Linked DNA regions of Pelodiscus sinensis. The protein of the gene in region 1 purifies or fractionates together with the protein of each later gene. This does not show direct contact. Links are inferred from orthologs where the notes say so. Each region holds a gene or a part of one and is shown on either strand. Other genes may lie near its edges.

Region 1 (3,914 bases):
CATGTGCACAAATTATTTGCATCAATTGTTTGCACTCATTATTTGCACAAAGGCACGAATTATTTGCAATTCTTACAGTGCTGTCAACCCCAAGGAAACTATCAACCTGCTGTGACATGAGGCCATACTAACAGGACGGGGTAAGGATAAAAAACACAAGCTTAGTGAAATACACTTGTAAATGCACCAATTATATGCATTAAATTTATTGTTTGCACAAATATTTGCCCTAGTAAATTACTAGCACTAATTAAAATTGCACATTTGCCCTAGATATTTCTTGCACTAACTGTATTTGCACCTAGTATTCCCAGTAGTGAATTGCACCAATTTGCACTAATTAAAAACGGTCCTGCTTTGCATTAGATAGGTGCACAAATAATCCGTGCAATCACCTACTACAGAATTGCACCAGGCCTTTGCACGAACGAGCTCTTTGACCTGCACCATCACTGGAACGGCAGCTCCTCCCTCACCACAATCGCCACAGCACGAGCCGCGCTTACGTCACGGCCCCTTCTCCAGCCGCGCCGTCCCCGTAACCCGGGCAACGGCGGTAAGAAAGGGAAAAAGCACTGTGGCCAAGCTGCCGTCAAGCAAATCATCTCTGGTGCACTGCGGTGCTGTAAAAGAAGGTCTCTGTCTCCGAAGCTCTGCCACTCGCTGCCCCGTGCCGCTGGAGAGGTGCAGGGACAGGGAGGAGGCAGGGGGAAGCCCTAGCAACAGAAAGTGCCACCCCGCGGTGCGTCGCACACAGCACTGCCGTAAAGCGAACCGGCCACACATCGCAAAAGCAAACCGATCGTTCATTCCTTGCCGTGAAGCCCAGGGACTCAGGGCAAAAATTCACACAGTTGCAAAGCGAGGCCGCAGTGCCGTAAAGCGAAGTGACGCTGTGTACGAGAAAAGCTGCTGTAAACCGCGGTACAACCTTCTGACAGAAATCTCAACGCTGTCGTGAAAAAAGGCGGTACCCATCGACGGAGATTTCGCGAGGGTGCCGTAAAGCGTGACGGGGTCGTCAGAGAAATAGCGCCACTGTCATAAAAACTAGTCGCAACGTTTAAAAGGGTCGCGGCGCTGCCGTAAAGCGCGGCGGTACTCTGTGAAGAGCGGTACGGCGTTGGACGTCTCGCTGAGGAGGGACGCTACTGTAAAGCGCAGCGACGCTCGGTAAGCGTCAGCGACGATGCCGTAAAGCGTGGTGGCGGTACGACGTGGGGATTAGCGACACGGCCGTAAAGCGCAGCGGCCGCGGCGCTGCCGCAAAACGCGGTGGGCGGGATGTCGGGCCCGGGCGCGGAGTTGCACCCGCGTACGGGGAAGCTGGTGACGCTGGCGCAAGGGGGTCGCAGCGCCGCCCGGTCCCAACCGGGTCAGGAGTTCAACCACGGGCTGGTGCTGAGCCGCGAGCCGCTGCGGCCGGGTCGCGTCTTCGCCGTGCGCATCGACCGCAAGGTGCAGGGGGCTGGAGCCGGGGGAGGGGGAAGAGCTGAGAGTGGCTCGATCTGGGTGGCGGTGGACGAGCGGGAGGGGGCATGTTGGGGCTGGACCCGGCTGCTGTGGGCTCCCCACGGAAAGCCAGGTGCTGACTTTCTCCATCTCTCCACCATTCAGGTGAACTCGTGGAGCGGCTCCATTGAGATTGGGGTGACTGCCCTGGACCCCGACCACTTGGACTTCCCCAGCAGTGCCACAGGGCTGAAAGGTGGCTCATGGGTCATCTCTGGCTGCTCAGTGCTGCGGGATGGGCGCTCCATCCTTGAGGAGTATGGCCAGGACTTGGATCAGCTGGGTGAGGGTGACCGGGTGGGCATCCAGCGCACTGCCAACGGGGAGTTGCACCTCTGGGTAAACGGTCAGGACTGCGGTGTGGCCGCCACCGGCATCCCGCCCCGAGTCTGGGCTGTGGTGGATCTCTACGGCAAGTGTACGCAGGTCACTGTTGTGCCCTGTGAGCCAGAGGAGACTGAGGAAGGAGCTGCAGGAGATGAAGGTAGAGAACTTCTTCTCTGTCTGCCCCAGAGTCACCATATACTATCTCTGTCCATACTACTGTATTTACTTTAACAGCACACTTCCCCATGCTGCTTTTCTCTTCCTAGATGCTCTTTTATTGTTGGCACTGTTGCCTCTAATTTTTTCCGTGTGCAGAATAAATTTTGTTAGATACACCGAGACATGTATGGATTTGCACCACCAGTAGAAACACATGCTGCTGGCTGCTGCTAGCTGTAGGCACTCTGCTAATCAGCTGGGTGGCATTTGATTCTCTTGGGTGGCCGCCCAAATGCTCAGCTTACAGGGAGCACTGCTTTTCGGTGTCCTAGGTTTGATTAGCCAGAGGTGCTGTATGTAAATAGAAATATGTACGAGGACTGTGAGGCCGAATAAACAAAGAGTAAGGTCTATTGTTTCATGCCTGGTGCTCCCAATACCCAGACTCTTAATATAATTTTCAGTATAGACACACAACTCGGTAAATATCACCTCTCTGTACATCTAGTATGTTGCTGTGTGTAGAAACATCACATTCTACTTTTTGATGGCTTCTGTACAGACATCAGATTCAAGGGATTCCTGTGAACTCTTCTACATGCCTTATGCCATCTGCCACTTGGTATCAGCATCACAACCACTGTGGGGTCTTGTTAATCTTATGGAGTTGATAGGCTGAAATGCGGGTTTATCTGTCTGGCACAGTTTCTGTGCTAAGTTTCCTCTAAGCTGCACGACTGCGCATCTATTTTCTGACCCCTGCTCAGAGGTTCAAAGCTCCCACCCAGGCAGGGAGCTCAGCTGACCAGTGGGGTGTGGGGTGACTGTAAGCAGCAGTTAAAGGAGCTGTGCTGCTTGAACTGAAGAGCTCCCAGAGCAGATAAGCAGGCGAGATAAGGACAGAATAAGTGGCTGGAGGAAGGACTGAGTGAGTGAGTAATTAATTGGCTTGGGGGAAGACAGAGGGGAGGGGAATTTGGAGAGTCCTGTCTGCCCGAGCAGGGGGAGGCAGAAACCCAGCAGTCTCTTCAACCCTTCTAGGCTGGGAAGGGGGAGGTGGGGGAAAGAGGGAGTGGGTGGATGCTGGCATCTGTGCAATAAAGTGGAGGTGGAGGACTGTTTGGGGTATCATGATTCACTTGCTGCCATCCTCCCTGGCTGGGTTAGAAGCTGGGGGTGGGGAGAGCCGGCTGTATGGGGGGTTTGTGTGCCAGGAGGACATTTGCATGATTACATTTCAAACAAAGTTTACTTGGGTGTTAATGGCTTAAGGTAAGAAAGAAAAAGATTCTTTTAACAGATTTGTTTGAAGCATTGTAGATCTCTAAAACTCTGAATTTAATGATTCTTTTTAAAAATCCTGTGTTGCTAATTAATACATGATAAATTGTTGCATTACGGCCAGATTTTTGCTATGTGATAGAGTTCTGTCTCTTGTGACACAAAGTAGCAAGTTTTGTAGGATGAATCCTTATTTGTAAGCTCTTTGAAACATGCATCTGTCTACAAATCCTGAAGTGATGTGTTAATTTGTTCTGGGGCTTCTACTCTTCCTCCAGTGGAAGAAGGCTAATTCCCTACCTTTGCACAGCACCTTTGTGGTATAGATAACTCACAGCAACGAGAGACAGGTGTCTTGTTTGAATATATTTTCTTCCACACATGCACACTGCTTATATATATGTATGTAAATGTGTGTTTAGAGATATTAAATTTAGATCAAGTAACTAATTGAATAGTTGATGGGATTTCCATTGACTATTCTATTAGTCTATAAGGGCACCTCTGCCTTTGAACTATAGCAGGAGCCCTGCCAGGCTCTTGCTACAGTTCAAAAATGGAAGCCTCGCAGGTGTGGCGGGGGACTCCCACTGGCCCCACATTCCCTGTGGTGCATCAGTCTTTGAACACTTCAA
Region 2 (3,914 bases), on another chromosome or scaffold:
TGCCTGCCTCACTGAACCCACAATGTAATAAGAGTAGTTTTGGTCATAAGTCTGGCTGGCTGTATCCTGAGAAAACCAGTCCAACATATATAGGTCTGAAATAATTTATAATGATTAAGTGAGTCAGAAAAGTATTTTAAAATCTTTTGACAAGTTCTGTGTTATTTTAAGATAACAAAAGGCAGGCTCATAAGATTTAAATTGATAATTGGTGTAAAGATCATGCTACTGATGATAACTATTAGCCTGACTTTAATGCCTACCCCCCAAACTAAGTGTTTCTACAACTTTAAGATGACATAGCCTGAGCTTAGTGCGGTAGCGGTGTCTTCTTCCAACCTGCCACAATGCCTACTTGATGAACACTTTAGTAGCTGGTGTACCCAAGGCTGCTGAAGAGACAGGAGTGATGAATTCTTGAGAAAGTCTGAAAGCTTGAGTCTGATGACTCGTGTAAAAGAATAAAGCTGGAGTGTGAGTGATGCCTCTGTCCTAGGGCTGCATTGACATATTACAGTCCATCAAACTATCATCACCTCTGAAATGTGGTGTGGTGACACCTCTCCTAGAAGGTTATGGTGATGCAGTGTAAAGATGGTACTGATTTCAGGGTCCTTGAAATGATATTAGGACGGGTGCATATATTCCACTGAAAATCAGCACAGGTGCTGGAACAATGTGTACAGTCGGAGTGCTGAGAATCACTGACCCAAACTGCAAACCCCATGTATGATGAAAACTACATCAAGTGAAGGCGTGTGGTAGCACCTATGAATTGGGATGATTCTGGGAATATTAGCATGGGAAGCAAAACTCCCTACACCCGATATAAAATCGAAGTCATCTTCACATTCAATTGAGAAGTGCAGTACAGTGCACCCCGGCTCAAACTACAGAACCTTGCGCACAATGCTCCCTATTGAGGCAAGCTGCTTAGGGCTCAATAGGACTACCATTCCCAGCATGCAACCCTCAAATGGCGAGAGGAAGTGGTCGCGGAGAAGCACTGCATGCTGGGATTTGTAGTATCTCCGTCCCGCCCTTGGGCCGAACGGCTCGGTGAGTCGCCTGCAGCCGGAAGCTCTGAGGGGGTAGTGGGAAGGCTGGCGCTGGGGAGAGGGGCGGGGTGCGGCGGGATTTGCGGTTGCCAGGAGCCCGCTGCTGCCTGGCGGGGAGCGCTGCAGCGCGCTCTGTGCAGGGAACCTGGGTGCGCTGGGCCCGCCAGCAACGGATCCGCCACCGTGGGGGCCCGTAGCAGGTACCGGGGTCTGCCCCGGCCGCGGAGCGGAGTGTGCGCGCGCGCCGGGGCCTGCGGCTGATTCCGCGTCTCCTCCCCCCGCCTGGACCTGAGGGGCCGCCACCTCCGTAGGCGGGAACCCTCCAGAACTCCCTCTGCCTCACCGGCGTGTGGGGGGGGGGGAAGCCGCCGGCGTCTGACTTTCTCCCCATCCCCCCCTCCAAACCCCCCCCCCCCCGCCCGCTGCCCCTCGGTGTCAGCTGTGAGGTGTTCGGCGCTGGATAAAACGGGGCCCAGTCCCAAGAGGCGGCTGTAGCGGAGCCCAGGCTCCGGGGGAAGGTTTGAGTTGAGGGTGGGAGGAGCTGAGTGCTGTTCTTTTGGGGGGCGGGGAAGGCAGCTGCTTTCTGGGGCGGGGGGTTAGAGCAGGTGGACCAACCAGAATGAGGGGTTTGAATGAAGAGAGGGTGGGGGCTGCGTAGAAATCAGGAGACTGAAGCTTCAGGGAGGGGCTTCTTGGACGAAGGCAGTAACAAGAACGAGACAACCCAAAGGAGAGAGAGGACTAACATGTCTTGTGAGTTTCTTGCGTGGCTGTGAATTTTTAATTTGGACGGGGGCTGCCATATCAACATTGGTGGTGGTGGTTTGTGGTTGAACCAGTTTTATCATTTGTAGGGAATTTCCAGTTTCCATCCAGTTTGCAAGAGAGCCTGAAATTGAACATAGGCATTTGGGTTCTGCAAGGAGAGCTGATCTGGTAGAAGAGAGAGGTGATAGACAGCTGGCCCCCAATAACTTCTTGACCCCTAACCATCCTGAAAGCAAATCAGCACACAAGACCGTCACCAGCTGAGATTTTTTGCTTGGCTCAGTAATTTTTAGTACAAGTAGAATGTTATGGAGACTCCAAAAACAATCAGATTCAGTGACTCAAATCTTAATTTCCTCCTGCACATGGTTTGGGGGCTTTTGCTGAAAAGCCCACATTCTTCAGATTGGGTTATTTTTATAGCAGTTCTTCCTATCACTTAGTGCAGAAGGGCAGTGAATTTATACTGTGGAAAAAAGCAATTCTGTAAAGATGGGGAATAAGCAGTTTTGCTATTAGTAGCAGAATTTTCTTATCTTTTCTTTTGTTCTGAGCTCAAATTGTTGAGCTGGGGGGTCTTAAGCAGAGCCCCACTGCCTTCAAGGTTAATAACTTACCAACCCAGGAATGTGTTTGCTAATTTTAGGTACATCATCAGTAATTTACAGTAATGTAACACTATTTCTGTCCACAACTTCCAAACTTTGGTGTGGCTTTTCCCTTCAGTCTCAGAATTGCACAAATTGTTGTACAGAAGATTAAGAATACACTTTGTGATTTGTATCTCCTCCTCCCCCCCAGTAAAGCTGTAATTCCAGCAGTGATAACATTATCATCAGGATGCTGGAGTAAATTGCACCTGTTGGTTATAATGCCATTTTAGAATTCTAGTAATCTGTGGGGATTTTTAATAACCATATTTAATATCTGTGAGAACACAAGTCAAATAAATGTACTCATGGGTTTGGAAGGAGGATTTTGTGTATTAGTGGAGAGATGGGATAAAAAGTAATTTTAAAAAGATCATCAAAGATGTATTGCCCCCATTCTTTATTTGTTTAACCTTGTGTTCAGTTAAACAAGGTATATAGACTTTTGCAAGTTTTAAATCTGCCATGGTGTTAAAAATTCTTCAGGAACTAATTTTCATGGGCTTAGGGTGTCTTCAGGTTTCACCAATGGAATAATTATATCAATTCCAAATGTAAATATCAGGGCATGTAATTAAGTGCCCTTCTGTCCTCACTAGTGCTTCTCAGTCACCTGTAGTGAAAATGATTGTTACAGGTGTTTGATTAACTACAGCACCTGCAAATATGTCTTTGCCTTCTATTGTTAACTTAAGTGACTTATTTATAACAGTGCATTCTGTACTGTAAATCTTTATCATGGTACATCATAATTGAAGGGAACCATATATTCTTGTGATGAAATCATTATGATTTATATTGAGCTGCCTGTTTCTTTACTCACTCGAAAAAGCATTCAATGGAGGGTGATTTTTTTTGTAAAACAATACTACTGCATTCATCTTGCACTCATTGAAGGTGAAAACAATACAGGCAGTCCCCAAGTTATGTACAAGATAGGGACTGTAGGTTTGTTCTTAAGTTGAATTTGTATGTAAGTCGGAACTGGTACATATTGTAGGGGAAACTCTAGCCAAACATTTCTCCAGAGCTCAGTTTTATTCTCCCGCACCTCACTTCCCTCAGTCCTTTATTCTCAAGCTGAGGTGTCTGCTGAGAAAAGCCACTCTGCGTCTCCCTGGTCTGCTGAGGGGGGGAGGGGGGCGGCGGGCGCTAGCTTCGCGTCTCCCTGGTCTGCTGGGGGGAAGCAGCTAGTGCGGGGTTGTCTCACCCCGTTTGTAAGTAGGGATCTGATGTAAGTCGGATCCATGTAACCCGGGGACTGCTTGTATAAATCTTGTTAATTTTCTAAATTATTAGTTTTTAAAAACTTCAGGGTAGTTGATGCAAACTATCATCTTATAGCAAAGATAGTTTGAGCCAAACCATATTTACAATGTTAATTTGTTTTCCCACATTACTTGAGAGAGAATCTCTTTTCTGACCCTTCACCCTCACC

What was found.
Region 2: the proteins of NEURL4 (region 1) and CCP110 purify together in Homo sapiens (affinity purification with western blotting; 4 studies listed by BioGRID and IntAct, with this or other methods). This does not show direct contact. The link is inferred for Pelodiscus sinensis from reciprocal best matches to the Homo sapiens genes NEURL4 and CCP110.

What each region holds. Positions count from the first base shown.
Region 1 is NC_134734.1:9,809,390-9,813,303, reverse strand, and holds the start of NEURL4 (neuralized-like protein 4), read left to right. Parts: upstream 1-1,225; 5' UTR 1,226-1,284; coding exon 1,285-1,458; intron 1,459-1,617; coding exon 1,618-1,996; intron 1,997-3,914. UniProt on the Homo sapiens protein: Promotes CCP110 ubiquitination and proteasome-dependent degradation. By counteracting accumulation of CP110, maintains normal centriolar homeostasis and preventing formation of ectopic microtubular organizing centers.
Region 2 is NC_134726.1:21,046,620-21,050,533, forward strand, and holds the start of CCP110 (centriolar coiled-coil protein of 110 kDa), read left to right. Parts: upstream 1-958; 5' UTR 959-1,059; intron 1,060-1,086; exon of another isoform or gene 1,087-1,811; intron 1,812-3,914.